Astyanax mexicanus: one gene and its partners. The protein of the gene in region 1 purifies or fractionates together with the protein of each later gene. This does not show direct contact. Links are inferred from orthologs where the notes say so. Each region holds a gene or a part of one and is shown in the gene's direction. Other genes may lie near its edges. The genes, in order: stx6, stx7l, vti1b and vamp3.

What was found.
Region 2: the proteins of stx6 (region 1) and stx7l purify together in Homo sapiens (affinity purification with mass spectrometry; 3 studies listed by BioGRID and IntAct, counting the BioPlex papers as one, with this or other methods). This does not show direct contact. The link is inferred for Astyanax mexicanus from reciprocal best matches to the Homo sapiens genes STX6 and STX7.
Region 3: the proteins of stx6 (region 1) and vti1b purify together in Homo sapiens (affinity purification with mass spectrometry; 3 studies listed by BioGRID and IntAct, counting the BioPlex papers as one, with this or other methods). This does not show direct contact. The link is inferred for Astyanax mexicanus from reciprocal best matches to the Homo sapiens genes STX6 and VTI1B.
Region 4: the proteins of stx6 (region 1) and vamp3 purify together in Homo sapiens (affinity purification with mass spectrometry; 5 studies listed by BioGRID and IntAct, counting the BioPlex papers as one, with this or other methods). This does not show direct contact. The link is inferred for Astyanax mexicanus from reciprocal best matches to the Homo sapiens genes STX6 and VAMP3.

Annotation. Positions count from the first base shown.
Region 1 is NC_064423.1:15,822,478-15,829,758, forward strand, and holds the start of stx6 (syntaxin-6), read left to right. Parts: upstream 1-4,105; 5' UTR 4,106-4,283; coding exon 4,284-4,318; intron 4,319-6,628; coding exon 6,629-6,797; intron 6,798-6,895; coding exon 6,896-6,991; intron 6,992-7,157; coding exon 7,158-7,220; intron 7,221-7,281. Other genes in the region: ier5 (immediate early response gene 5 protein), read right to left, coding at 1-547. UniProt on the Homo sapiens protein: SNARE promoting movement of transport vesicles to target membranes. Targets endosomes to the trans-Golgi network, and may therefore function in retrograde trafficking.
Region 2 is NC_064408.1:40,137,388-40,144,757, reverse strand, and holds the start of stx7l (syntaxin-7), read left to right. Parts: upstream 1-4,353; 5' UTR 4,354-4,461; intron 4,462-7,353; 5' UTR 7,354-7,370. Other genes in the region: trace amine-associated receptor 13c-like, read left to right, coding at 1-1,017. UniProt on the Homo sapiens protein: May be involved in protein trafficking from the plasma membrane to the early endosome (EE) as well as in homotypic fusion of endocytic organelles. Mediates the endocytic trafficking from early endosomes to late endosomes and lysosomes.
Region 3 is NC_064414.1:8,056,629-8,064,860, forward strand, and holds the start of vti1b (vesicle transport through interaction with t-SNAREs homolog 1B), read left to right. Parts: upstream 1-5,054; 5' UTR 5,055-5,224; coding exon 5,225-5,321; intron 5,322-7,257; coding exon 7,258-7,316; intron 7,317-8,232. Other genes in the region: rdh12 (retinol dehydrogenase 12), read right to left, coding at 901-1,056, 1,164-1,294, 3,043-3,113. UniProt on the Homo sapiens protein: V-SNARE that mediates vesicle transport pathways through interactions with t-SNAREs on the target membrane. These interactions are proposed to mediate aspects of the specificity of vesicle trafficking and to promote fusion of the lipid bilayers.
Region 4 is NC_064431.1:5,052,175-5,059,691, reverse strand, and holds the start of vamp3 (vesicle-associated membrane protein 3), read left to right. Parts: upstream 1-4,281; 5' UTR 4,282-4,387; coding exon 4,388-4,389; intron 4,390-7,517. UniProt on the Homo sapiens protein: SNARE involved in vesicular transport from the late endosomes to the trans-Golgi network.

The DNA of each region.
Region 1 (7,281 bases):
TCGGTGGTTGCTGTGAATTCCCTTCTGTGACCGTGGCGGGGTTAGCATCCGCCTCACAGTCCGAAGAACTCACTTCAGCTCCTTTAGCTTCACATTGAGATTCACAGGTCACAGGAGAAGATGTGAGAGAAACATCAGTAGTAGAATCCTCTGAGGAAGACTCCTCTTCGGCCTGATGTTTGGAGTAGACGCTGTGGAGATCTGTGGAGTCTTCCACAGCCTGGCTGGTGTGCTGAACCTCAGGATCCTCTGGAACCACAGGATTCTGGTTGCAGTCAGTTGATGGGGACAGAGATTCCTCAGGGGCTGGAGTGAGTGGCTTCTCCTGGTTGGAATCCATCAGCTCCCACTCCTTGGCCTCAACATGCTGGGTGTTGAGGCAAACCCCACTGTAGTAATCACTCAGATACACTTGGCGTGCACTTCTGAGCACCAGAGACACCAGGAGGTTTTTGTGGAGCTTGATGCCTCCTCGTTGAACCCGGGAGTTGTAAATTTTCCCCAGGGAGATACTCATTATCCGATGGGCCTCCACTTTATACTCCATGGTCAGGCTCGATTCAGGAACACTCGAAGCAAAATAAATACAAGCAGTTTCAAAGTTCAGCTCCAGTCAGAGAAGGCTTGTCAGCAGGCTTGTTCTCCTTCAAGTGTGAGTCTCATTGAAACATTGTCCATCCAAAAACGTCAAAAGAAATGGTCCAACAAGCTTTAGAAACACTCACTTGGTCTTCAAGTAGTTTTTAAATGAAAATAAAACCTATTTTAAAATAAAAGAAGCCTTACAATTCCTCTAATTTAGGAAAAAATATGGTTCTCTACTCGTTTTATCAACTTGATACGATAAATAAAACCAACCGCCACATTTCTGTGGTTAAAGAACGTAATACTGATAATTCTATGTTATTGGGTTATACTATAAGCCTGCATTACCTTCCGTACGGTCTCTCTCACCCAACAACAGCCTAGAGAGGAATGAGACCGTTTCTATATTTAGACCGCTTTTATACCCGGACGTAACGGCTACGCTGACCAATCACATCGCGCGCTGAACGCCACCGACGCTGTCAACCACGCCCCGCGAAACCACTGCGGACCAATCGGAACGCGGGATGCAGATTAGTCATATTTAAATACTAACGTGGGAGAAAAATTTAAAGAGACCGAAATGTTTTTAGGCTGAGCAACCGAATTATTACTAAAAACATCAATGAAAAATTAAATAACTAAAAAAATTACGTGTAAAATTAACAGCAGTATTTTTGGGCTCTTAGACTGTAATTATCTTCTGATGGTGGCTATAAACACTGAGGATCTGTATTATCATTTATAAAACGACTGATACGAGTCTAAAATCATGCTTACAAACATAAATATAGCTAAAACGGTGAAATGGTGGTTTTCTTTTTAAAATACAACTCACTTTGTAAAATCTCACAGACTGTGCTATTTTAAGGCGTGCAATGTCTTGTTTTTGACCGCTGTTAAATAAAAATGGCCGTGTCCCCTTTAACTCTCCTTGCTTTCAGCCAACATCCTGGACTGATGTAATGGTTTGTGTCTCCTACAGGCGGGTCACGTGGTCCTATTGTGCAAATCCTCTGCGGTGTCTGAGCAAATGTGAATGGGAGCCGTTAGTGAGGGGGAGGGGAGGCGGTGTTTTGTTTCAGGACCCAGCTAAAGCCCAATGTGACACCAGACTGAAATAGCTGAACGCCTCGCGAAGGCTTAATACATTTAAATACGCAGCGGTCCTCTGGTAAACAATTCCAGGTTATCTTTCCCACTGTGTGCTCGATATAGGTCACAACCCGCAAAACACCGCGCGGGGAAAAGCAGGGAGTGACGTAACACGTTTTGTGTTTACAGTGTGTGTGGAGGAGAGTGTGAGAACCCTGCTAAAAAACACAGCCCAGCTGATTTCAGATAGTCTGGACTGGTATGTACTGGTCAAGGCGAATAAAATAAGCTGGTGATTCAGGTGAAAACATACCCTGGTTAATCAGCTCAGCTCTGGCCAATTATAAGTGTATTTTTCATAATGTTAATGGACTGGTTTTTCAGCCTGACCAATTCAACAAAGCTGGTTTAATTTGGTAAAGCAGATTTACTAGTTTAGGCTGTTTGGTAAAGTCGGTTGATCAGTTTTGGCATTTTGTTAAGACCAATTGATCAGTTTTTGCAATTCGGTAAAACTGATTATCCAGTGTTGGCAGTTTGTTGAAGCCCATTGATCAATTTAAGCAGTTTGGTAAAACTGATTGATGAGTTTGAGCAGTTTGTCAAAGCCATTTGATGAGTTTTGATAGTTTGGTAAATATGTGTGATGAGTTTAGTAATCTGTTTAATGAGTTTGGGCAGTTTGGTAAAGCTGATTGATCAGTGTTGGCAGTTTGGTAAAGTAGTTGATCAGTTTTGGCAGTTTGCTAAAGCCGATTGATAAATTTAGGGAATTTGGTAAAGCCAATTGACTAAAAAAATACCCTGTTATTCACCCAGTTTGTCCAGGTTGGGTCATCACTGCTACACTACAGCTACATTTCTGTGAGGTTAAGATAATTATTATTGTACTGACCACAACTGTATATCACTGGCATTATATTGAAAATGAACTGAAGTGATGTGTTGTTAAGTCATGTGTATCATTAGCTACACTTAATATACGTGTTGAACATCTATTCACAGACGCTTAGACCAAAATGGTTAGTTTTTTTTGTAAGTGTATTTTGATCTGACCTTTTAATTAACTGCACGTAGACAGGAGACACGGTGGTGTATGTTACCGGGATACTGTGGTGTAGGTATCCCAGCTAATGAATGAGCCTCATGAATATTTAAAGCATTTTAAGTGCTGCAGTCAGCAGTGCATTCGGACAGAGGTGGTAACAGTGACCATCAGGACCGGTGTGACTGTGAATGGGCCTGTTATGGGTCTACATTCATGTCCTGACTTGTTTTAAACACAGGAATGATTAGGCAAAAAGTACTGACATATAGATATATACATATATGTTTTCCTTTATATGTCATTGGTTGTTCAGATCAGCAATTTCAGTTAAATATATCATAGAGCAGATGAACACAGTGATATTTAAGAAGCAAAATTAAGTTTATAGGATTTACAGAAAGTGTGCATTAATTCTTTAAAACAATATTAGGTAGGTGCATAAATTTTGCACCCCCAACAGAAAAGTACATCAATATTTAATAGATCCTTCTTTTGCAGAAATGAACACTCTGAACACTTTCAATAGCTTCCAATAAAAGAGTCTGGCTCCTGGCTGAAGGTGTTTTGAACCATTCTTCTTTACAAAACATCTCCAGTTCAGTCAGGTTTGATGGTTTCCGAGCATGGACAGCCCACTTTATATCACACCACAGATTTTCCATAATATTCTTGTCTGAGATGATCATTCCAGAATGTTGTACGTGTTCCTCTGCATGAATACCTTAGTAAATATTGAGAAGAGTTTAGGGACGTGTTCTCATTGAAGTATCCAGCCCTGGGAATTTTTTACTGTAGACAGCAAGTGTTTGATTGGGAATGCTTTGTTCTTTTTCCGCCATGCATACTGCCCTCCAAATAATTCAATTTTAGTTTCATCAGTCTACAGCACCTTATTCCAAAAGGAAACTGGTTTGTCCAAATGTGCTTTAACATACCTCAAGCTACTCTGTTTGTGGCCTGTGTGCAGAAAAGGCTTTATCTTGCATTACTCTACTATACAGCCTCTCCTTGGGCAAAGTGCACTGAATTATTTATTCTGATCAATAAAATGACATGGGTGCCAAATTTTATGCACTTACCTAATTTTGGTTAAATAATTATTGCACACTTTCTGTAAATATTATAAACTTCATTTTACTTCTCAAATATCACTGTGTTTGTCTGCTTTATGATATTTAACTGAACTGCTGATCCGAACAACCAGTGATTTATTAAGGAATATCATGAAAATTATCTGGGGTGCCCAAACTTTTTCATACCACTACAGATAGACAGACAGACAGACATGCAAACATTCTATAAATAAATACATATTATTTGCACTTTACTTTATTAAAACATAATTAATTTTCAATGGTTTTTTCAGATTTCACAGCTCTGCTGACCTCTGCCCCGGATTGAGTAGAGGGAGTGATGGCGGAGGGCGCAGCTCAGTCCCGCACATAAACAAACCTTAAACCCTCAGCGCTCTCACAGCGGCCACAGACACGGGCACAGCCGCCGGGGTCTGGAGCATGACTTTATACCAGAGGAGCCATTTACTGTGAGCAGCACCATGTCGATGGAAGACCCGTTTTTCGTTGTGAAAGGGTGAGTAGAGTTAGCTTTTCTCAGAGAGCGGAGCTAGCTAACGCTAACGCTAATGTTAACACGACCCAGCCTTAACAACAATGGACCATGCTGAAGTTCTGTTTTACAGTCTTCTCAGATTTATTACAGATTTAATATAGTTACCGGAGTGTGTCTTTGAAGGAAAATGTTTGTACCGTACTAAATTATTTTTCTTTACACACGTTAGTTAGCTTAGCTAGTCCGCTAACTAACTAGCTTAACTGCTTTGTTATGATGCTTTAAACTAGGTTGCTATTAGGCTAACGCTAGTTAGTCTAGCTGCTATCTGCCTGCATTCATTACTAACTAGCGTTAGCTTTTTGGATTGGTTTAAATTTTGTATAGTAATAGGATAATAGCTAATTCATTTTTTATTAAGAACTCTATACAAACAGGCTTTAGGTAACATACATTAACGTTACATGTCCAAGTGTTTGCAGGTACTTTAAATGTACACTATTAACGTGTATAAGATTTTTACAGTATCTTACAGCGTTAAAACATAGTTAACGCTAGTTAGCTAACATAATATCCAAAGCTGTATTAAACTGTCGCAGAAATATGGTGTTTTGCCAGTGACAGACATTGTTTTTAACCGGCTAATGCTAATACACAAACACTACAGAACCCCAATTCATATTAAATTCCCCAATACTTTATTATACTTATTTCACATTTATCAACAAATAAGTTTTTAGTCCAGAGTTTGCTCTATAACGCACAACACAGACAAAGGGTTATAAAGCACCTAGGAAAAGGTTGGTTAAAGGAAGAGGTGTAACAATATTCATGTTTTTTAACTAATAGCTTAGTTAAATCAGTACTGAATGTCTTATTGTTTACACTGTTATTAAAAATAAGGGATCTTGGCTAAACCGCAAGGCTGAATTATTTACATAAGCAAAAAGTTCTGACTGAATTGGTTTCTGCTGATGCTCAGTAGAAGACTGGTAGAAGATTGGGTAGAAATGTTTTGCCACTATAATAGGATTCTGGAGGTGATAAACATGATAATATTAGGCACCATGTATGGTCTAGAGGGGTATAAAGACTTCAGCATTGTGCAGTGGAACTGTGTTCTCTGGATTGATAGTGTTTTATGTAATTCTTTGGTGGAAGAGTCAGGGCCACCAGCTAATGCTCTTGTTGCTGAATGCAAACTAATGTTTACAGTACTGCTATAAAATCTAGTAGAAATAGTCACTCCAACAATTACAGAATTATTTTTCGTATTTTTTGTAAGACCCCATGTTTTAGATTACCCCGATAGTATCTATACTTTGTATCAGCATTATGTCCACATTTATGCATAAATAGCCCTGTCACAAAAAAACTTAGCAATATTGTCCCACAATTGATTGCGATAATACTTTTGTGATCAAGACATTTTATGCCCATTATTTAATGTTGTGAAATGTACTTGGGTTGTAGTGAAACATAATGACAAGTACAAACTTTTGGCAAATAGGCCACCTTTGTTTACCCGGAGTTCCAAAATACACTGCTTTTTGCCAGTTCTCCAAACAGGCTTACAATGTTAGAGATGGGAGCATAGTGTTGCTCATGCAAAGAAATTAGCTACTTTTACACCATTATCGAGCTCAAAGTAGCTCCACACTTCATTGGTAGAATTCTGAGAACCCTAACATTTAAAACGAGCCACTGAAAACTTTAAAAGTGCAGATAGTTTATTTAAAAAACCTTTAGGTAGTACTCTCGGCACCGCCATCTTGAAATTAAGCCATTAAAAAGTCGACTGATGGGCACTTTCAAAGTGTCAGGGTCCTCGGAATTCTACCAATAATTTTTTTTTACCCTTGTTAATAGTGTAAAAACAGTGATTCCTAGGGGCAATTTCAAACATCTCCAGTTTACCTGAACGGTGGTCTTTGGACTGTAGGAAGTAACCAGGACTCTCTTCACAGAAAGATCCTGGTTGCTCCAGCTGGGATTTAAATCCAGGTCGTCTTAATGTAGGTGACCGCGCTACCCACCACGTCAACATTCTGCCCAAACAAAAGAAATAAAACTAATAGTAATGCTCTTCTTGCTGAGGAATCCACAGTGGTCAATACTGAGTTACTATTGTATGACAAGCAAATAATGTAATTATTGTGACAGGCCTATGCATAAATTGCTATTCAGAATACATCTAGGATAAAGTTATTTTCCTAAGTTGGCCAGCTAGATATGTGCTTTAACAAGCCAAGCATTCACAGCCACCTCAGTAACTCTCACTATTCTGAATATTCCTCATGTTGACCTGGAATAATATGTCCCTTTGCTTAGAGAGGTCCAGAAGGCTGTGAACACTGCACAAGGTCTACACCAGAGATGGAGTGAGCTTCTTCAGGATCCTGGTGGTGCCTCCAAGGAGGAGGTAGACTGGACCACCAATGAGTTGAGGAACAGCCTGAGGTCTATAGAATGGGACCTGGAAGACTTGGATGAGACTATTAATATCCTTATCATGCTTCTCAGATCAAAACAATGTTTTTATTTGTTGTTATTCATGCTCCTAATACTACTTTAAACAAAGCCTTAACAGTAATTTCAAGTATTGTAGAAGCAAATCCAAGAAAGTTCAATCTTGATGCGGTAGAGTTGAGTAAAAGGAAAGCTTTCATCACCAGCACAAGACAGACTGTCAGGGTGAGTTTACTTTGGGTTCTTTAAAAAGTTTTTCATGGTGATTATTACCTGTATGCATATCTCTGATTTAGTTAAAATTGTCATATTATCAACTACATTGATCATTTGTCAATATGAATAATATAATGTTATTAACAATGTTAATCATGTTTTTCTTTTTTTGTAGGAGATGAAAGACCACATGGCTAGCCCAATGGCTGTCACCATAACAGACAAGAAAAGCAGACAGGTATGTATGTCAAGTTATACAAGTCTATCAACTTAGTTATTTTCCCATAGGATTGTGGGCT
Region 2 (7,370 bases), on another chromosome or scaffold:
GAAGCAGATTTAAGCCAATATTGTTATCCTGAATCTAATGCCTCATGTGTAAAAAGCTTTTACAGTGTAGGAGCTAAATCTGTTTTATATTTTTTACTCATTTTGGCAATGGCAGTGACTGTTCTTGGGAACTTTGTGGTTATTGTCTCCATTGCACATTTTAAACAACTCCATACACCCACAAACATTCTGGTGATGTCTCTAGCCTTGGCCGACCTGTTTGTGGGCATGATTGTCATGCCCTTCAGCACGATCCGATCTGTGGATGGCTGCTGGTACTTTGGACAAGGCTTTTGTTTACTGCACTCTAGTTTTGACATGCTTCTGACCTCTGCATCTATCTTCCACCTGGTCTGTATTGCGACAGACCGCTATCAGGCTGTGTGCCATCCTCTTCACTACCCCACAAGAATAACTATACCCACTGCATGGTTAATGGTAGCTCTGAGTTGGACTACAGCTGCGGTGTATTCATATGGTCTAATGTATTCAAAAGCAAACGTAGCAAATCTGGAAGAGTATATGGAGTCAATTTTCTGTGTGGGAAGTTGTGACCTTTTGTTTAATGCACTATGGGGGGCTTTGGATACATTGATTGGATTCCTTTTGCCATGCTCGGTCATGGGTTGTTTGTATGCTAAAATATTTTTGGTGTCAAAAAAGCATGCGACGAAAATTGAAGGCAAGAAGCAGTGCAAGAAAGGGACCAGCATGAATACGGTGTCTCAAAGTGTGAAACATGAGAACAAAGCAGCAAAAACCCTCGGCATTGTAGTAGGTGCATTTATTCTTTGCTGGATGCCCTTTTTTGTTAACTCTATAGTTGATCCTTACATCAACTTCTCCACACCTGCGGTACTCTTTGAAGTGCTTGTCTGGCTGGGTTACCTTAATTCAACTTTAAATCCTATAATATATGGCCTCTTCTACCCGTGGTTCAGGAAATCCCTCTATCTTATTGTTACACTGAGAATATTTACTCCTCATTCCTCTGACACAAACATTTTTCTAGCTTAAATGTCTTTAGCATAGCAGGTTGTGTTATTTATGTACTTTAGTTCTTCTAAAGAGTAAAATATATTGTATTATAATGAATAAATAAAATGTATGTCACATTTCATCATTTATTTGCATTTTAAACTGCTTAACACTGATCAATAGCATTTGGACTTACATATTTAGATGCGCACATGCATAGAATGTGTTACATTAAGTAAATGTAAGAAAATGAAATGTGTTAATGTGAAATATTTTATTTTTGATTTTTGTGTTATGGAATGTGAACAGATTCAGGATCAGATTATCAAACTAGCTGTTTTGTTGTTTTCAGTAGAGAACACTGTCATATATATATATATATATATATATATATATATATATTATTTTTTTTTCATTTTTAGATTTTTATGTTATACATACTATTTCATGTTTTTACAATGGTGGTTATGGGAAACAAATGTCACAATGACTACAAAACAAAATAAATCATTTTAATTAATCATCATTTTTACATTTTAACATCTAAAAACACCAAAGAACCTCTTATATGTTTATCTATGTAATGACAATGGTAGAATGCAAATCTGAACAAATAGGTTTTTGTTGGGGACTATTTTGCCCCACAATGCACTGTCATGTATTCATTCACCTTGAATACATTTTCAAAGATTTATTTCATAACTATGTAAACTATTTCAAAACTTTCTTTAAATAACTTTCTGTGGTGAAGCTTTAAACTTTATTTCTCTTAAATTGAACTCTGTGGACTCTTCTATTTATCACCTATGAACAATATCTTTAGAATGTAAAATTTCTCACCACACCGCTTTTTCTCTTTTTAAACAGTACATCCTAATCATTAAACTGTCTGGTTGCAGTTTTATAAAGGAAACATTGTGCCATAATTTGGGGCAAAAGCATTTCGTGTTAGTGATCAAATTAAAAATTAATTTGTTTAATTAAAATGTGGGGTTGTGGGGATGGCAGGACTCTGAATAGGTGAAGTCAAGTATTTACCACATTTCAGGCTTGTAGGACAGTGCAATTTACTGCCACACATTTACATTTACAGAAATGGCCAAAATTCTGCCATCTCTGCACTTCTTACAGAAAATGCACCACCTACGCTGATAAACAACCAAAACACAAAAAAGCAAAAAGAAAAATGTTGCATCTTTCCACACAGAACTGCAGAAAGAAACTGTACAAAATATTCATACCACAGGCTTCAGAAACACTTCTATACTGGAATTTTGGACCACTCTTTTTTTGTTTTGCCTGACCAGTTTCTTAGATATTATTATATATTAACTTGAAGTTCCAAAAAGATTTCAATCTTTCGAAAAGTAGTTTGAATCCATTTTAGATATCAAATACATAATAGAGCCCAAAGACATCCTTGTGTCTCTGATATGTGGTTGGGAGTTCTAAGACAAATTCTGAGACAAAGTGATATTTGGGTGAAATAAACATTAAAAAGTAGTTAGCTGAATTGGTAATATTTGGGTGAGATAAGACTTCAAATCTGTAAGTTGTTAGATAAAGTGATGATATTATATTAAGGAGTAGTAAGTCATTAATTTCGCTAGGTGGCAGTGTCGCGAAAACATAGGGTTCTAGAACTGCGGTCCTGAAACTACTGCGGTCCTAAAACTGCAGTCTCTGGTTCTGCATATAATATATACTATTGACCCGAAACCCTAGTTTTTAGAATGAATATATTAGGCTAAGCTGGGATGGTCGTTCCAGCACACTGGTACCTTTAAACACAATATTTTATCCCTTCTTCACTCAGAAATGCTTCTGCTTTTAGTTTAGAAACAAAATAATACGCACTGCCGCTTTAAACATGGTGGTGGTATGAGCATGCATGGCTTCCAGTGGCACTGGTTCACTAGTGTTTATTGAAGATAAGACAGAAGCAAAAGGATGAATTCTGAAGTGTACAGAGATTTACTTTATGCTTAGATTCAACCAAATGCAGAAAGGTTAGTTAAACAGGGCTAAACTGTACAGATGGAGCCAAAACATGGAGTTTTTGAGGTGAAGAAGTAGAATATTCTGCTGTGGCCGAGTCAGTCACCAGATCTCAACCCGATCAAGGTGCCTTTCACTTGCTTAAGGCAAAACCCACAAGCAAACAACAACTGAAAACAGCTGCAGTAGCAGTCTGGTAAAGCATCATATAGGATGTTGATGGGTTCCAAAATCCAGGCAGTCATTTTAGAAAATAGTTTTAATTCCTAAACACTTCATTGGATGTTTTTGTTCAACACCTTAAATCAAACCTGAAAGTCTACTTCAGTTGCATCTCATTTGTTTCATTTCAAATACAGTGTGGTGGCATGCAGAGCCCAATTACTAAAGATTGTCTCACTGTCCACATATTTTTGTATAGTGCCATGGGCAGATAATGTCTTAAAACAAAATACAAGCACTCAAAATTGTTCTATTTAAAACTGGCTGAACATGTGATCTTTTTTCTACAAGTCGTCCCCTGGATTTAACTAAGCAAAAGATCTGGGGTTGCTGCAGTTGGTCAGGTTTAGGTTCAGCAACAGTATGTGCTGAAAGAATGAGGTCAGCTGACTACCTGAACATACAGAATATAGACCAGATTATTCCATCAATGGATTTTTTCTTCCCTGATGAAACGGGCATATTCAAAAATGACAATGCATGGATTCAGGGTGCTGGAATTGTGAAAGAGCGGTTCAGGGAACATGAGATCATCATTTTCACACATGGATTGTTCACCAGAGTCCAGAACTTTGCTCCAATGAGAAACTTATAATAAATAAATATACATAATGCAACACTGGATTGAAATAAATCTTAAGACATTACAGAAACAATGCCACAGCAAATGTGTGCCGCGATCAAAGCTAAATGCAGTCCAACAAAATATAAGAGTGTGTGACCTTTTTTTTTATCAGTGTATATTGCATTTGTTATGTGCCACAAATGCTAATTACAGAAGCACTGTATGACAATAATCCAGTTGTTTCTTGCCATTTTAAAAGGGTGTTAATTTTGTCCAGTTTCTTTCTGGGCTTCTGAATTAACATATTATTGTAAATAATCACATTCATTTGAATACTGTCTTGACACCTTTGGTTATAAACAGGTTGGTTGTAAAATGTTTGAGAACCTTTGACATAAGCAATGATAACTGGGCTTGGTGTCTTTTTTAGTTTTTAGTGTTTAGTTTATCGTTGAAGATTTTGTCTTGACATTTAAAAATATCTAAACTGCAAAAAAGTAGTTTAATTTATTAATTTAAGTGACAATTCTATTCAATCTCAGCGCAGGAGAGGGCGGGCCTTGTCCGAAAACGGGTGCGGAAAAACAACCGTGAAATCCTCCAATCACCGCCCGACAGACTCTCACGTGACAGGCTGGACTTCAGCTGTGAGGAAGTCTGCTGTGGAGAATACTTTCACCAAAGCCGAGGAAACCGAGGTAAAGCTAAAAAAGACGCGTTTAATACAGCTGATAAACCCGGAGACTGACTGTGTTTAATGTGGAGCGGCTTTAAGAGACGTACAGTGGTGTGAAAATATCCGGAAATGTGTTAAATAGTGCAGAGTATTGTATATTAGGTGTCGCGTCAGTAACTAACTCTAGGTTAACTGACGCTGGAGGTTTCTGGTGCGTGAACACTTTCGCTGCCAGTGTGGTTTCGTTTCTTTTTGTGACTTTAGAGCTTAAATAAGTGAGTTTCGGTCTTTATAGGGACTTCTGCGAAACTTACATTGATATTTAGATCCTATAAAGCCTATATATACTGTGTATGTATACTGTATATATACACACATGTGTAAGGCTGGTCTGAGAGCTGAACCTGGTGACAGCTGCTTCTGGGTGTGTTTGTTAGTTTCCGCATTTTTGCTGTTGTCTAAGTTCAGCAGGTGAGTTTTAGAGGAGACTGTGAAGCTCAGCAGGTTGTCTAATGACATAAGTACAATCTCCCAAATCCTCCAGTAAAAGTATTTTAGAGACAAGAGTAAGAACAGCTGTCAGAAACAGCTCTCAGGCCCGGGTTCAGTCTTCTCCTACAGGACTGCAGTGTGGCCTGGAGAACTTCTGCTGTACATATCATAGTGTTTTCCTCCTTTACACACCAAGTTCATGTCAGGAGGAGCTTGGTTAGTTGCTGAGTAGCTGGAACAGATGTTTTGGGAGCAGGACAATCTCTAAAACACCTTGTACCACCCATAATCAAACTAAAACACACATGCATGTGATTTTAAATAATGTGATACATTCTGCTCTTTATATTGTAGTGTTTTCCTCCTTTAACAGATGAGTTGGGAGAAGGACAAACTCTAAACCGGTGCTTATCAAACTTTTTATACCTTGTACCATGCTCAAACTAAAACACACTAAAGTGTGTCAAAGACCTGCATAAAAAGGATTAGTGGTCATCAAAAAAGTATTGAGATTTACGAACTCCATAAGAGTGTCCCTTTATTAATTATGAGAAACTGCAATTAAATAAAAGTATATAACCTACTTACTTTTTATTTAGTACAGAGTATTGGTATATTTTGGCTCTGTATTTACTTATAGGAAGGACCCTCTTGTCTGCAGGTCCATCCTCAGGGGGAGGTAGTTGTCGGTAGTTTCATTTACTGTGAGTAGCTATCAAAAGAGATCAATCATGAAGCAGCACAACTACTAAAATAATATGAACAAATGCAGCTCTGGAAAAAAATTAAAAGACCACTTTAGTTTCTAAATTAGTTTCTCCAATTTTGCTATTTATAGGTACAAGTAAAATGAACATTGTTGTTTTATTCCATAAACTACGGACAATATTTCTACCAATTGTCATTTAGTGCATTTATTTAAAAAAAAAAAAAAAAAAGAAATGACTGAAATTGCAAAAAAAAAGATGCAGAGCTTTCTTACCACAAATAATGCAAAGAAAACAAGTTTATATTCATAAAGTTTTAGGGGTTTAGAAATCAATATTTGGTGGAATAACCCAGGTTTTTAATCACAGTTTTCATGCATCTTGGCATGTTCTCCTCCACCAGTCTTACACACTGCTTTTGGATTATTTTATGCCACTACTAGGGCAAAAATTCAAGCAGTTCAGCTTGGTTTGATGACTGTGATCATCTTCCTCTTGTTTATATTCAAGAGGTTTTCAATTTGGTAAAATCAAAGAAACTCATAATTTTTAAGTGGTCTCGCGTTTTTTTCCAGACCTGTATGTAAATTACGGATGGCAATTTAATGGATTGTGTATTATTTATGCTATCAGGTATCCCTTTTCCGTCAACAGCAAGACAGTGAAGTATTGTTTTTTTAAGGTAGGAAATGTGGCATAAATGCCATATGATATGTCAAGACAATTTCACAATATTTGATGTATCACAATAGTGGCAAACATTGCAGATGAAATAAATAAAAGCATGTGTTGGCACACTTTAAAAGAATTGATGACATCCACAATATAAACTATAATGTAGTTATGTTATATTGACAATGTTATATAGACAACTATAAATCAATAAAGTATATACTTTCTTTGGTGTTACATGATGTGTTGATTCATGTGTGGAACTGTTTGGTACAAGTGGTGGGACAATACATTATCATATCGCTTTGACTGTAACATATGCTGATGTGGCGTCAATTATCATTATTTTTCTTATATTTTATTGAAACATAGGGGCTCTAAGAAGACTCGGCCCTCAATTTGACTTACAAAAGTCACTGTTTTTTTAGGTGGGGGCGCTAATCAAATAAAAAGGGTATACCTGTGACAAATAATATTGTTTGTAAAATTCTGTAAAACTGATCCATCATTCCTGATATTTGTATTTTATTCTCTTCATCCTCTATTGTACAGAATTGTCTTGCATTATATTGAGTCACAGTATTATGATATTATCGATACCATGGGCAACGTAACGTGATACCATATTGGGATCTGCCCTGTGATTCCCACCCCTATTTGGTATAACACACAATAACATAGGCTTTATCAGTATCATGTCACACTTAGTACTTTAAATGTTTAAAGAAAAATGTAAGCAGTAAAATGTATTGTTTTTCAATTTCAGTATTTATTTTGTGTAGAGCAGTCCAGTTGCTGAATAAACAAAATCGAATGAAACTAAAGTCAAAAAGGAACTGGGAACTAAACATGAGGGACTAAAATAAAAGTGCTGAGAAAAGTTTCTAGTAGACTAAACAGAAAACATATACATATACTGAAAAATCATGCCGTGATCTTGTCTTTTTTTGTTCCTCTTGCTGTGAAAAATACAAGTATTTGTCAGTTGTGGCTTGTGAGCTTCTTAATGTGTTGTTACTTATGTATCCTCTACCAAATTCTAGAGTTGGAGGAACTGAAA
Region 3 (8,232 bases), on another chromosome or scaffold:
CATGGCAGAATGAGTTAATCTACAGTAAATTAATTCATTCCAAGTCTAAGCGTTTGTGTTCATACTGCTGCGTGATGCGTCTGTACATCAAGGGGAGTTGGATTTTGGCACAACACCAGTTCTTTTTTCCTCTGGTTTGTTCAAAGACTGCCACAACTTTCTGTAACTGGTCTGAAAGTCTGAACCATCTAGAAAAGTGTTTTTACACTGCACTATTTCACACACTTTTTCTCCTCTAAACTGTCTTTCCATCTTCAGTTTTTAAAATGTTCTATCAGTGATCTCTACTGGGCTGACTTGGGTTGCAAATTTGACCACATGGCACAGTGTCCATGTTCTTTGCAGTCATTGTCTGTTACCAACTGTAGTTGATCGTTATGACTGTGTAGAAAAGTCACTTTGGGCTAATAAATTTCTCTTAAATTTGCTAATTCCCTCTAACTAGTTAAGATTCTCCTTATTAAAAAATGCTACAAGCTAAACATGCTTCACCCTCCTAATTATGAAGAAACACCTCAACTTTTCGAACTGCCCTTAAAGGAGAAATCCAGTGTGAATGGACTTGGGGTGTAGTGAAGCATGATAACTACTGCTAGCAGTAAAATCGCTGTATTTCAGGATGCTGGGGGTGAACATTCGTACAAAGGTTTGTATTCATCATCATGTTTCATTACACCCAAAGTCCATTTTACACCGGAATTCCCCTTTAATGCTGCACCACTTAATCTTAACAAGTTTGGAGGAGAACAATAACAATGCAAATTCTGATACAACAGCTAACAGCTAAAATCGACTGCACTAGGTATTGAGGGAGAAGGGTTCCAAACATTTTAACTTGTGATGAAACCTGTTTCTTTTATCAGTCACTGGTGATGTACAAATTGGTGTGTGTGAATTTACCTCTGAGGAATCTCTGTGCAAAGACTCGGATGGAGCGGGTATCAGCCAGGTCCAACTCCCGAACCTCCACCTTAGCCCCACCCACCCGCCTGCGGATCTCTGCGGCCGTGTCCTCACCTTTCTCCATATCCCGACAGGCCAGGATCACCCGTGCACCTGCACAATAACACACACACTTTACATCTACACTTTATTCTCCAATGCTCCTCTTTATATCTTTGTTTTTTTCTACAGTGAAGTGTTTGGCTGGGGTGCTCCCTCACCCCGCAAGGCCAGGTCCACTGCCGTCTCCTTCCCAATCCCGCTGTTCGCTCCTGTAATCAGTGCAGTTTTCCCATCCAAACGTGCTGTGGAGAGACACACTCCGCCTGCTGCGTATTTCCTGCAAACAAACCTTTAGTTTTTTTTTGTAAGTGTGTAGAAGTACATAGTTTTTACTGTCAAATTATACACTATACATACACTACAGACTCATGTTGGATTAACCTCACTACATAACTACTACTTTTTTACTACAAGACATTGCAGATTCATACTGGATTAACCTGACTGTACAATATTTATGTACTATTTTTACAGTAGATTGATTGAAAACACCACATGCATTGCAGATTTTTACTGGACTACAAATATAGGCTGTACTATTATAGGAAGCCAGATAAATTGTGATATATGTACTAGTGCATTTAAAAAAAAAAAAATATCATTGAAAAGTTACTTTATTTCATTAATTCAGTTCAAAATGTAAAACTCGTATATTATATAGATGTATTAAACACAGAGTGATCTTTATTAAGCCTTGTTTTATTGTTGATGATTATGGCTTACAGCCAATCAAAACCCAAAAGTCAGTATTTCAGAAAATAAGAATAATACAAAAGACCAACTAGTGTTTTTGGCAGTGTCCTGCTGGAGAATGAAATCCACATCTCAATAAAAGTTGTCAGCAGAAGAAAGCATGAAGTGCTGTAAGATTTCGTGGGAAAACACTGCACTGACTTTGGACTTGATAATAAAACACAGTGGATCAACACCAGCAGATGACATGACCCTCCAAACCATCACTGATCATCAGTAAATTTTGCATTTCATTTGTAAATCAAGGGAGCAGAGTCTGGAGGAAGAGTGGAGAGACACACAGTCCAAGCTGCAGATTTCATTTTTCAGCAGGAATTGGCACACTGCCCATACTGTCATAAGTATCAATTTGTCTGATACAATATTCTAATTTTCTGAGACACTGATTTTTGGGTTTTCATTGGCTGTAAGCCAAAATCATCAACAACTCTGTGTGTAATCCATCTATATAATGTGTTTCACATTTTAACTGAATTACTGAAATTAAGTATCTTTTCTATGATATTCCTTTTTTTAACAAAGTTTAAAGATTACACATGTTCATTTAATAGTAATTCAGGATTCTGTTATATTAGCTCTTGTAATATTTTTTTGTTTAATTTCAGTCTTGGCAATTAATTTTATACTAACATGAGAAGAATAGAGCCAAACCAACCTCAGTACTTGTGGCAATAAATGTACTAAGACGTTTCACTAAGGTCTCGTAATAAAGTCGTCATTACTTTATTAAAACACTATTTTATATACAATATTTTATCCAGAGCATCATTATAGCCTTCTCTGCCCACCTCCTCTGAACACCCCCACATGCCTCCAGGTGGTACGACCCACACATAATTACCATACGCAGTCCTCTGCACCCAATCAGCCTTCGCCTACACTGTGCATGCATAATTAGCCCCGCCCCCAGGAAGATCTTATTGGCCGCCTTCCTAAACTGATCATATTCAGCGGAGGCGGTTACTATAGTGGTCGTGCACCATTCAACTGAACAAAACCAGCTCTCTCAACCAGTATAATGAGATATACATTTATAAAAAACATAAAAAGATGTATATTAGCTAAATTACAACACACAGCTATATGCTTACTATCTAATATACCCGACTAAGGCCCCTGTCAGCGAGCCTGAGCTTCACACTGTTTACAATTAGAGCACAATTTAGAGCACATTCTCGCTGGATTATACATTTCTATTAAGCGTAAATATGTATATAAATATATTGCGCTTAAATCCTGCTTTAAAATACAGAGAAAGCTCAGCACACGCAGCGATGTGCCTACCTGATGTGGGAGGACAGCAGTCTCAACACTATAGCTACGAATCCGAAACCTGCCACCACGACAGCGAGCATGATCCTTTACAAATAAAAACTCAATAAAAAAAAAACAAGGAGAATTCAGAAATCCTCAAAAACAAGCCTCTCTGCAGTCGTGTGACTGCTGATGCGAATCCGTGGGGCTGTTTAGATTTGGTAACTCCCACTTTCTCTAGCGCCCTACACAGAAAACAGCTGGGAATCATGGGATTGTAGTTTTTGTAGATGGGGACTGTAGTTTTTTAATCAGTTTCAAAGAGTTACTCAGGTATTATACATAGTAGGATTTAAAATACTTCTGTAGAAGTTGAAGTATCAACTCAAGCTTTTTACTCTTTAAGTAAAAGTGTAAAAATACTGCTTTTAAAAATACTTAAAGTGTAAAAGTAAAGGTCATGTAAAGGGGAAAAAATGCCATTAAGGACAAAACCTTGGGACACATGGCCCTATAGTGCAACCCTACTCTATCTAGATGGATAGATTTATCTGGATAGTTTTTTTTAATGATAGAAATCCGTAATAAAAACAAGGTGTAATGAAAGGAGTAGAATATTCTCTGAAAAAATAGTCATCTGAAAGTTATCTAAAAAAAATATTACTCTAGTAAAGTATAGATAACCCAGGTAACGAAGTATGTATATGTATATATATATATATATACTTTTTACTTTATTTTTCTGTATTCTAACAAAAAACTAACTGGAGTTGTAGTGTGTAAAGTATTCTTTAAGCACCTCTCTTAACTGAAAATCATAAAGTATTCAAAAGCATAGTACTCAAGTACAGTAGGTAAAAGTACAGTACTGTGTTACTATGTGTTACTATGTAATTATTACAGACAGCAGCAGCTCACTTTGGTTGCCAGTGGTTTAGACATTAATAGCTGTGTGTTGAGTTATTTTACAAGCTGTACACTAGTGAAAGATCAGTATAAGATCAGCTTGGTGATGAGAAATTTCCTTAAACCTTTTGACAGTGCAGTCCCTGAATTTAATAAACTGCTTCCTTAATTTATTAAACAATTCCCTCACTTTAATAAACAAATTTCTGTTCCTCAATTTAATAAACTGGTCCCTCATTAAAGAAAAATCTGTAGTTAACCTGTGGGGACTAAATGAAGATAATTATTTACTAAATTGAGGAGATAATTTAATAAATTAAATTAATTATTTATCAAATCAATGAAACAAGTTGCCGAATCTGAAAAATATTAATTTGATTGTTTTTTTTAAACAGTACGTTTAAAATATGTTTATAATATGTTCATAATTATACATTTCTTTGAAACATTGAACCTAAGCCTATGTTGAATTTGCCCACTTCCTATTTCAGCCGCTAGAGAGAGCACGGGAGTAAGTCCTCAGGGAATGAATTTTACTTTTAGTACTTCAGTACTACATTTTACAATAAACTACTTGCAATACTTAGGTACAAAAAATGTTTTTTATTACTTCCACTTGTGCTCTACTCAAGTCACTTTTTTTTTATAGAGCACTTTCTCAAGCCTGGGTCTCTAGAACTCAGGTCTGGATAATGCTACACTACAACTGATTGACCTTTTGGTAAGCCGATGCTGGAGGCTTGAAAGGCTTATAACTTGAATTTAAACGTTTTAAAAATCATATGATATGGTTATGTGTTAAGAAAATGTATGAGAAAAGTACATGTTACAGTATAAAATTTGAAAAACACCGTTATTCTCCGATTTAGCTCCATTTGAACCAATTCATTTTAGACTCTTTGATTGAACTACATAGACCACAATGCGCTGCTTTGTTAAGGACGCTGAGAGTCGCCGCAGAAAATGTCGTTACAAATTTCAGTGCAAACTTTAGATTATTATTATTACTTTGTTTAGAAATGTAATATAATATCTGCAGTGTTTTACAGCTCGTCCCCACAGGCCGATCAGTCCGCACTGCGGAGTTTTATTATGCAGGCATGTTCTCAGGGCTCCTATAGTCACGCGGTGGGATGAGGAAGCGGAGTTGATTCGCTGTGTTTATTATTGTGAAGCAGAGAGAGCTGGGAGTTACCGGTGGTGTAAACTGATTTATATAGCGTTATATATGGTTTAGAGCGGCTGATTATCTTTATTTAAGTGTAAAATATTAAGGCCTCTCGGCTGCAGTGAAGAAAGGGGCAAAATGTCGTCGGAGGAGTTTGAGAAACTTCATGAAATGTATAAATCTTTATACGATGAAGTGAAACTGATTCCTGAACGAGTGCTGCGGAGCCACGGCGGTATTTATACTATTTACACCAGCTATTCCATTTATTAATCACCAAAATTATATATTTAGCTAACTAACTTACACAGTTCACAGGTCAGTAAGCAACACCCAGCTTTAACTATATATTCACTGAAATACAACAATCAGAACCTGTAGATAGATAGGTTTCAAGCCTGTTTTTGCCATCCTCTGCCTGCAATTGCATATCTCGGGGCTTTCTACTTATACTGACTATGAACTAGAGGCAGTTTGATAAAGTATTATGACTGAAAAGCCTTTAATGTTTTGTTAGAAAATAATTAAATATATTGAAATAAATCTCCAATGGTGAATGACCCTTGAGAGTTGTTGTGTGGAAACATTTTGCCTGGGGTCTAGCAGGGGTCATCTTTCAGCCTGTACAATTTAACTATAATATCCCAAACAAATCCACGTACAGTAGGCCATTGCTTTTCCTAGTGTTTTTTTGGAATTGATTTAATGAATAATTTGAGTGTTTATAGTGTAACTTGTATTCATTCAGGAAAACGTTCTTGCAATGTATTTTTCAACCCGAATATTTATTAGAAAGGGTTTAAAGTTCAATTGGCATCATAATTGCAAAGCTTTAAAATTGTATCCTATATTGAACCTACGCTGGGCCAGTCCATCACCTTTATATTCAGTTTTATTAGCAAGTCAGAATTGTCTTGGAGGTGTCCTGCGGAGGATACTGTCCTGCGTCCCAGTTTCCGAAGGACTGTCACTCCTTACAGCTAGCAGCACCTTATATAGCCCAAAACCAATGACACTCCCACCACAATGCTCATCTTTAGAAGACGCTACCTTCTAATAACCACTGGAAACCATTGACAACCACTGGAAACCAATGGAAATCTTAGCTTTTTTGTTTGACTTTGGCGTGGACTGTCCTGAGTGTAGGCTGTACTGTTAAATGCCTGGATATCACTGGCAAGCATACTGCAGCTCAATTTTAGGGCTTTGGCTATCTTCATGTAGCCTAGTCCAGTGTTTCTCAACCTTTTTTATATCACGACACCCTTTAAATATATGCGAGATGTCAAGGCACCCCAGTTTAAGGGGGGGGGGGGGGGTGCTGGCGCAGTACTTCAGGTGAGAACTGGGGTGATGTGCTGGCGCAGTACTTCAGGTGAGAACGAGGGGTGTTGCTGGCGGAATTTGACATAAAATAGCGCGTGCATCGCGTGGGGGACAAAAACTTTACAGTGTTTCCCAATTTAGGGGCTGCATCCTTCAGAGGCTGTATTCGAAGACAGATTGCGTCACAGCTGCGCAGTAATCCACCGCCTCTGTGGGTCGCATCCTTCATAGTATGCTGCCTGTGAATTGGGACACACCCCGACACGAGCTGACTCTGGAAAGGAAATATGCACGTGAGGCGCAATATTTTGACGGCACCCCCGATGAAGCCAGACGGCACCCCAGGGTGCCGCGGCACCCTGGTTGAGAAACACTGGCCTAGTCCATCTTTATGTTCTTTTTTTCAGATCCTCAGAGAGTTCTTTCCCGTAAAGTGCCATGTTAAATATCCAGTGGCCACTTTGAGAATGTGTGAGAGCAAAACCACCAAAAATTCACACCTGAGACCTTGTTACACTAACAATTCCATTTTGACTTAAGAGTGTACTCACTTTGGTCGCCAGTGGTTTAGACATTAATAGCTGTGTGTTGAGTTATTTTCAGAGCACAGCAAATGTACACAGATATACAAGCTGTACACTAACTACTTTACATTGTATCAGTGTTTATCTTTAGGTATAACTTAAGCTATAATAAAACTTTGCAAAAATGTGAGGGTTGTACTCACGTTTGAAAGATACTTTAAATGATCTATGTTCTAATATACAATAATGACTATGTATGAAATATATTATGTGCAGTTACTGTAATACAAATTATGTTTGTGTTTCTTTTCTGTTCTTTAGAAGAGAAGAAGAAGTTAGTGAGAGTGTTTGATGAACGTCTTGGGGAGGCAGAGGAAGTGGTGAGTAACTAATTTTACAGCATTTGCAGCTGTTTTTGACTTTTGACATAATGTGAATCTGGCAGTTGTCATTTATGTTATGTCAGAATTACCAATGACTTAATGACTCCTATATGATGATATAGACTACATAATATGTCTGTAAATCTAAATTTTTGGTAAAACCTGCCCAGTGTTTCACAAATAGTATTAATGCGCCCCGTCTGTACCTGTTTGCTGCTTTAACACTGTATTCAACCCAAGTATCAAAGTTTATTTAGTATAAATATAAGAATTTCATACATGCAGTAGAAACAAAAAAAAATGTTTGTGATTTTTTTAATCAGTAACTTACCAAGACCCTGATTTTGTATAAAATAGTAGTGTAACAAAAAGGAAAGAAATGCAACAACAACAGTTTACCACAAAACTAAAGTGTAGCATATAAAGTGCAAAAAAATGAATAAATAACAGTAAATACAGTAAATAGCAAAAAAAAATACAAAATAGACTGCTTTGAAGAACATTACTATTATCACGCTATTGAATTTTTTCTTGTGTCAGAATTTTTGCTGAAATGAATGCTTATGATACGATAAGGCACACCCATATTTACACATGTGCGCTTTATGCTGTCTTGTCTCATACTGTTTGTTCTAATTTGTGTCATGGTCCTGGAGAAACATCATTTCTTGACACTCTGTACTTGTACTGAGATGGAATGACAATAAAAGCCACTGAACTTGATATGCAACTTGTAGTGCAGGAGTATCACACCATCAAAGGTTTCAAAAGTAATTATATTCATTACTTTGTAGGTAGAAATGTAGAGACTAGGGTTTAAAATACATCTGTAGAAGTTAAAGTATCAACTCAAGCTTTTTCCTCTTGAAGTAAATGTGTTAAATACTGTTTTTCAAAACTTAGCCACAGAGTC
Region 4 (7,517 bases), on another chromosome or scaffold:
TTTTTGCACTAAATATCTGTCTTTCTTTCATTCATTGCATATACAATGTATTTTATCTAAAAAATATTTACACATTCATAGAGCTAGAAAATAAACAAAATTCACATATGTTTAGTGTCTTTTTTTAATTAAGTAGATTACAACCTCCATTAGCCTGTACATTAGTATAAATACACTAGGGCATCTAAAAAAAATTACTTACTTTATTTCAGTAACTCAGTTTAAAATGTGGAACTCATTTATTATATAGATGTATTACACACAGAGTGATCTTTTTAAGCATTTATTTATTTTATTGTTGATAATTATGGATTACAGCTAATGAAAATCCAATCAGTGTCTCACAAAATTAGAATATTATGTATGACCATAAAGCATGCTTTCGGCGCATTGTGCCAGGTCCAGCTGGAAATTGAAATCCACATCTTCATAAAAGTTGTCAGCAGAGAGAAGCATGAAGTGCTGCAAAATCTCCTGGTATACACTGCATGATTTTGGACTTGATATAACACAGTGGACCAACACCAAAAAATGTAAAATCTTACAGCACTTCATGCTTCCCTTTGCTGACAACTTTTAAATAGAGATGAGGATTTCATTAAGCTGTTAGCCACAATTATCAACAGTAAAAGAAATAAACACTTAAAATAGATCACTCTGTGTGTAATACATCTATATAATATTTGAGTTTGACATTTTGAATTAAAATACTAAAATAAAAAAAGAAAAGATCACTAAAAAATGGTGAGTTTCTTTAATTTTACCAAATTGAAAACCTCTGGAATATAATCAAGAGGAAGATGGATGATCACAAACCATCAAACAAAGCAAAACTGCTTAAATTTTTTGCACCAGGAGTAAAGGCATAAAGTTATCCAAAAGCAGTGTGTAAGACTGGTGGAGGAGAACATGCCAAGATGCATAAAAACTGTGATTAAAAACCAGGGTTATTACACCAAATATTGATTTCTGAACTCTTAAAACTTTATAAATACAAACTTGTTGTTTTTTTGTGTTTTTTTTTTTCTTTTGCATTTAAGGTCTGAAAGCTCTGCATCTTTTTGTTATTTCAGCCATTTCTCTTTTTCCTGCGAATAAATGCTCTAAATTTGGGAGAAATGTTGTCTGTAGTTTATAGAATAAAACAACAACGTTTATTTCACTCAAACATAAACCTATAAATAGCAAAATCACTGAAGTGGTGTCAGAGCTGTATATAATATCTCAGTATGAGTAAGTTACTTGTAGCTATACGCTGGTAAGGAAACTATGCTTGGAGAATGTAACTCTTAATACTAAACCTTTACATATACATTCAAGCAAAACCAATATACTCTAGGCTGTATATTAAAAAATAAAACAGCAACATAATACTCCAAACAATTCAACAATTTAGTGTTCCCCAAACATGACAGTTTTAACACAAAACTTTGTCAATTCACTGGGGGAAACGTATTAAGAGTTTAGCTAGCTCACCCACTGAACAGGATTAGCTAGCTCTAGCTAGCTGCCCAAGGCCAAACCCACACACTCACACAAAACAGTCCCACATTTTCCAAAAATCAACCTTTTTTGTGTACATAACTTGTCAGAGTCTGCTGTGAAATTGCTATTGTGTACTTTTATAGAGTTATTCATTTATTTTAACCTCTACAAACCTGTAAAACAGGAGAGAAATGAAGAGACAGCTCCAGAGGAGACTCAGTTCTCTGTAGTTCTGAGAGATAGAGGTGGGCGGATCGATCCAAATATCGATAATATCGATACCAACGCTGGTATTGGTATTGAGCAATACTCGTGTAAAAATATCGATATTCAAGCTTTTTTCTCTGCCGCACGCACTGACTGCTGTGCACGAGATTCACCACAGTCTACTCTCTGGTCTCTTGTTGTTGCACATGCATCACATGGCTCAGCAAAGCCAGCCAAACCGCCAGGCAGGTAGGCTCAGCCTGGCCCCGCCCACTCAGCGCTCTCCTCGAGTCCACACGCCTCTACCTCAGGAGATTTGTGTTGAGTGATATTTTTTTACACTCTGTTTATTTAAGAAAAACTTGCATTTGAATTGCACTGAATGGAAGACAATTCCTTTCCAAATGACAATTCTATTAAAAAAAGAAACAAAGAAACAAAGAACTAGAAAAGATGTCTAGTGAGGGGAGAATTTTTATTTTATTTTTTTATATTTTTTTATTTTATATTTAAACTTTGTTTTGTTACTGTTCCATTGTTTCTAAAAAAAATGTTGATTGTGATACTAAAGTATTTTGTTATCACTAATGTTTGGTGAAATTTTATCCGAGGTTTTTGGATCATTTGGATCTATAAAGCTTAAATATTAAAAAGTATCGGTATCAGTATCGATATCGGCAATACTGGCCCTGCGTTTACTTGGTATCGGATCGATACCAAAATTCCCGGTATCGCCCACCTCTACTGAGAGAACAGTGTAGAGGGCGCTGTACTATGTACCTGCCGCCTTCTACTGCCACCCTCAGGTTCGGAGGGGCTATAGCAGGCTTGACTAAAAGAGCTTTATTTGTTGATTTTTTTAACTCAATAAAAGTACAATTTCTATTAATTTTACAAGAATAACACCCAACCTCAAATATGTAAAATAAAATAAAATATTTGCACGTATTTTTCACTTTTTACTAATACTTATTAAGACTATAGATTATATGTAGTTAAATATAATACTGATATAAAAAAAAAACTCTGGTGTAAAATTGACTTTAGGTGTAGTAAAACATGATAAAGAGTACTAACCTTTGTTAAATAGCCCACCTCTGTTCTCCCGCAGCTTTCCGAGATGCAGTAATTTTGTGCTTTTTTCCCAGCACTCTTTACAATGGACGCTTCAGGGCATCCACTTGCCCCTGCAGATAAATCGCTTTTTACACTATAATCCAGGCTTAAAGTAGCTTCACAACTTATTGACAGAATTCGGAGATCCTTGACATTTAAAACGAGGCATTAATAACTTTAAAAGTGCACAATAAGCTTATTAGAAAATAAGGCAGAGATTAGACTACGCTACGGGTTGTAAACAGTGTTTTTTAATGAGCTTCTTGTCCACTTTTAAAGTTATTAATGTCAGGGCTTCTACCAATTCTACCAGTGAGGTGTGGGGCTACTTTGAATTTTGAATCTTTTATAAGGTCATTATCACAGTATACTGTGCTGTTACATTTTAATAGTGGGTTTCTTGACATGATAAATGAAAACAAAAAGCTTGTCTTCTCAAAGAGACCTCAATATTACCCCTTGAATAGGATGAGTTAAAGTCACCAAATAATACATTGTTTAAAAACCGTACTAACTAGCTTATTTTCTGTTTTACATATTTTATCATATCTAGGCCTGTCACGATAAGATTTTTTTGTGGACAATATATTGTAATAACAGAATAACAGAATAGCATAAAGAAGGCAATTAAAAACCTTTTAAAGACAACAAAATGTGAATTAATCAATTATTATAATTAGTTTGGGAATTAATATACTTATTTCTTCACCTACTTTAGTCCACACTGTGTGTATCGAGCCACAGTTATTGAAGCATGACTGGCTAAAATACTGTTCGCTGTTACATATGTGAACAAATATACAAATAAACACAATAGACGATATTACGATTATCAAAAATTATTAAGGTCATGTTAATTTATTGTACGATAAATAGATATTGCAATTATCATACCCCTTGCTGGAGACTACAATTTTATACTTTTCAGTAAATTCTTAGAAGAATACAAATAGACCACCTGAATTCAATAGGTCTAGAACAAAAAATATCACACTTTTAGCAATAACAGCCCTATTATTCAAAGTATAGTTATGTAGTGAAAAGTTATAGGTAAATATAATCTTTGCAGTATTATTTATTGACTGTTTGTGGAAATTTGACAATTTTACAGAGATTTTTAAAACTTTAAAATCACATCTTAATAGAAACTGAATTCCTCCAACTTTACTAAATAGTTTGTTGGAAATGTGGTACCACAGAAGAGCAGAAGTTTCCTCTGTTGTGCAGGACAAGTTTTTCAGAGTTACCAGCCTCAGAAACAGCTCCCCATACAAGTTAACTAGCTCCCTAGATGCTAACAGTACCTAAATGCTTCTTCACAGAATATTTTGGTTTGTTTAACACTTTTAAGTAACTAAACGATTCATTATGTGTTTCTTCATAGTCTAAATCACTTCACTATTCATTTACAATGTAGGAAATAAACTGAGTCAGTAGTTTAGTGTGGAGCTGGCCCTTTAAGTTAGTGTGCTGTGAGACAGTAGTCCACACAGACTGACTGATAGACAGAGCTGCAGCTACTGATCACTACGGAGTTTATACAGCAGCCGGCCCTCTACCGAACACCACATCAACAACCATGTAAGTGTGTTTTATAGCGAATGTGTGGGCGCTTTTAAGCGGATAGATTATATTTATGTTCGCTATATACATATTTAGGAAGTTTGATAACTAGCTAGCTATCTACTCCAGCTAATACTCGCTCAAAACAACGCCCAAACTTCCCCAGGCCTCCCTCAGCAACAGGTTAGCATGCTAGCCAAATAGCTAGCTAACTAGCCAAGCCTAGCTTAGCATAACTTATCTTAGTGTTTTCTTTGGCTGTAACTTTAAAAAAAGCTTCGTGGTTTTGAGTTAAACAGTCTGTGTACCTGATTAGGTTTATTTTTATTTTCTTTAACTAAAAAGAAGCTTCTTTAGTATCAGTTACAGTTAAATACAGTTCCAGCGCCCAGACTAGTTGTTATTAGTTAGCTAGTTAATAAACTTAATATAAGGGCTAGGTTAGCTAGCGCTAGATAGCCAATTAGCTTAGCATAACTTTTACCGGTCTCTTTTACTTAAAAGGCTAGCTGCGTTAAGCTAAGCTAAGCTAACTAGGTCAGTTAACTTCAAGAAACTAGCGACCAGCGTCAAAAAATTGAAGTTTTTTTCCGTGGTTTTACACATTTTTCGTGGTTTTACAGCGCCAAACTGCTGATACATCGTCATTTATTAATAATTACATTAAAACCCCTAATCACTAAAGGATAGAGAAGGAGATGATGTTTTTAAATCCGCGGACAGTGTTGAGAAAACTCTCTGCTATATTTTGTGTTTTTTTCTGGATATTCTATAGCTAAATAACCGCTAGAAACTGCAATTGTCCATCATTGCCACATAGTACGAGATGTGTCAACGGTTTTCTCTTTTTTCTGTCTTAATGAACACAGGAACCAAGCCCAAACTTATATCCTCCAGCAAAAGTAAATGAAACACTCCCTTGTGTGATTAGGCCATAAGGTGCACTAGAAAGTGATTTTCGTTTGTACGTCTGGGGACTATTTTTATTTTATTTTTTATGTGTTTTTGAATTGACAACCCCTTCATTGACGTTAAGTTAAAAAATCTCAATAAAACAATCCTGCAGTTTTTTGTTACGATGCATAAATTTAAGTTATATAAATGCGAATCCAAAAATCCCAACACAAAACATATCCCAAACTTACCTGTACATGTACCTAAATATCTGAGACAAGTATTAATGCTTTAGTACACTCAAATGTGAAAGTAGATCATTGTATGTTTGATCACGAATGCACTGAGAAGGTGTTTATTTTTACAGGCATATGAAAGCCCATACCTTGTACTTAACCCTCCCTAACATGATTTCTATTTTTGGGAAAAAAATATAATAATAATTCAAGCCATTTTTGGGAGCTTGGGAGCCCCTGTTGATATATCAAACTTTTAAATGTGATGTGTTGTAACAGGAAAGCGATTAAAACATGAAGAGAAAGGAGTCTCCTGGACTAAAGATAAGACCCAATGTTTTAGTATAATTGATCAAACATAAGAGCTGTATGTGCTCAGTGTTACCCTGAGGCAACAAATAAAAATACTTTTGTAGTAGGTTTCTATTCATGTCTCACTTGTGTCACATTGTATTGTGTGGATGTTTTCAGTGTAGAAAGTCTAGAAATATAAATAATAGGGCATAAATAAAACAGGCATTGTGCTATTTTTGTTTGTTCTACTATATATACTGCAATATATATATTTTTTAACACCAGATTTCATAAAAAGTTTCACTGTGATCCATTTCTCTCTTTCTTTATACAGAATTTGAGTGTATGTTGGTGTCTTTGACAGTTAAACTGCTAAACAGTCTGTTAAACACAAACGCAATCAGGTAGTGAAAGTGAGAGCAGTAAGATTTAGTTCGGATATGAGCTGTCTGACAGATGGCTCTGCTTGTTTCTTTCATCAGGTGACAATGGTTTTGTCTAGTAATTCAGACATGCAAACCTGTGGTTATGTCTAAGGCAAGAACGCATTATTAGTGGATGTCTGTCCATCTATCTGTCTAACCAGTAAACTTCAAGCTAAAAAACAATTGGCCATTGAAATCAGCCTTTAAATCCCAGATCTCTTACATGCCTTTTCTTCAATTATTTGATTACATTCAGTCATAAAAGTAGTAGTAAGATCAGTTGACCTGTGTAAATACTGTTGACCTAGTCACACAGTGAATGTTTTGTGTTCTGAGTTATTTTAGGGTCGTCTGAGTGGACCTGTAGCTAAAACAAAGAGCATGTGATTTGTTTTCCTGCTGTTGTTTTACTAATCCTAAAAGAAATGTGCTTTCTTTCGCACAGTGCAGTTTACCCCGAGAACAGGTCAGTTCTGAGTAGGTCATGCACAGTATGCAGAATGTAACCTCACAATATGTTGCATTTTCACAATTTGCATTGTGTGTTTTTTTTTTTTTTTTTTGGGAACAGTTTGTCAGAGACATAGACAACGCGCCAGAAAATCACTGTAGTACTGTGTTTACAAACAAAAGGACTGAAAGTTATTAAAATGGTTTTAACTTTACTTCACATTTGAGTGTTTAGCCCTCTTACTTCTGCCTGGCATTAGGCAAAAAGTTTCATGTTTATCTGCACAAAATGTTGTGTAGCAATTAGCTGTGAGAAGATGTGTGTGAGTATTTGCACATCTGTGTCAACTTTGGGTGTTACGTAAAGTAGTTGAATGCGATTGTGTTTGTGTGTCTTTGTTTGTATAGTTTAATAGATACATTTTAAATTGATCTAATTTCTGTACTGCGGTAAAATAGCTATATTATAGATATTAAGTGTTCTGTGAGGTTTGTCTGCTGTGTGCATTAGACCCCGAGGAAAAAAAAAATCAAACAAATCCAAAGAAAGGCATGCTGTACTCCCGTTTCTCTCATAGTTTTGTTACTAAAAAGCCACAATTCTAGAGTAAAAAGATAACCATGCACTTCTTGATCACAGAAATCACAGAAAATAGGCGAAGATCTGGAAGAAAAGCAGCTCAAATGCAGTCAAACTACTACAGCCACATGATCTTATGTTAGTTTTCACATTCCACTGTAAAATAGTTCACATTGGAGACTGCAAACTGCTCTGTTACCTTCTGAACTTACCCCAATGCTACAGGCTATAATTATTGTGTTAATAGCACTCATACAGCACTGTTTT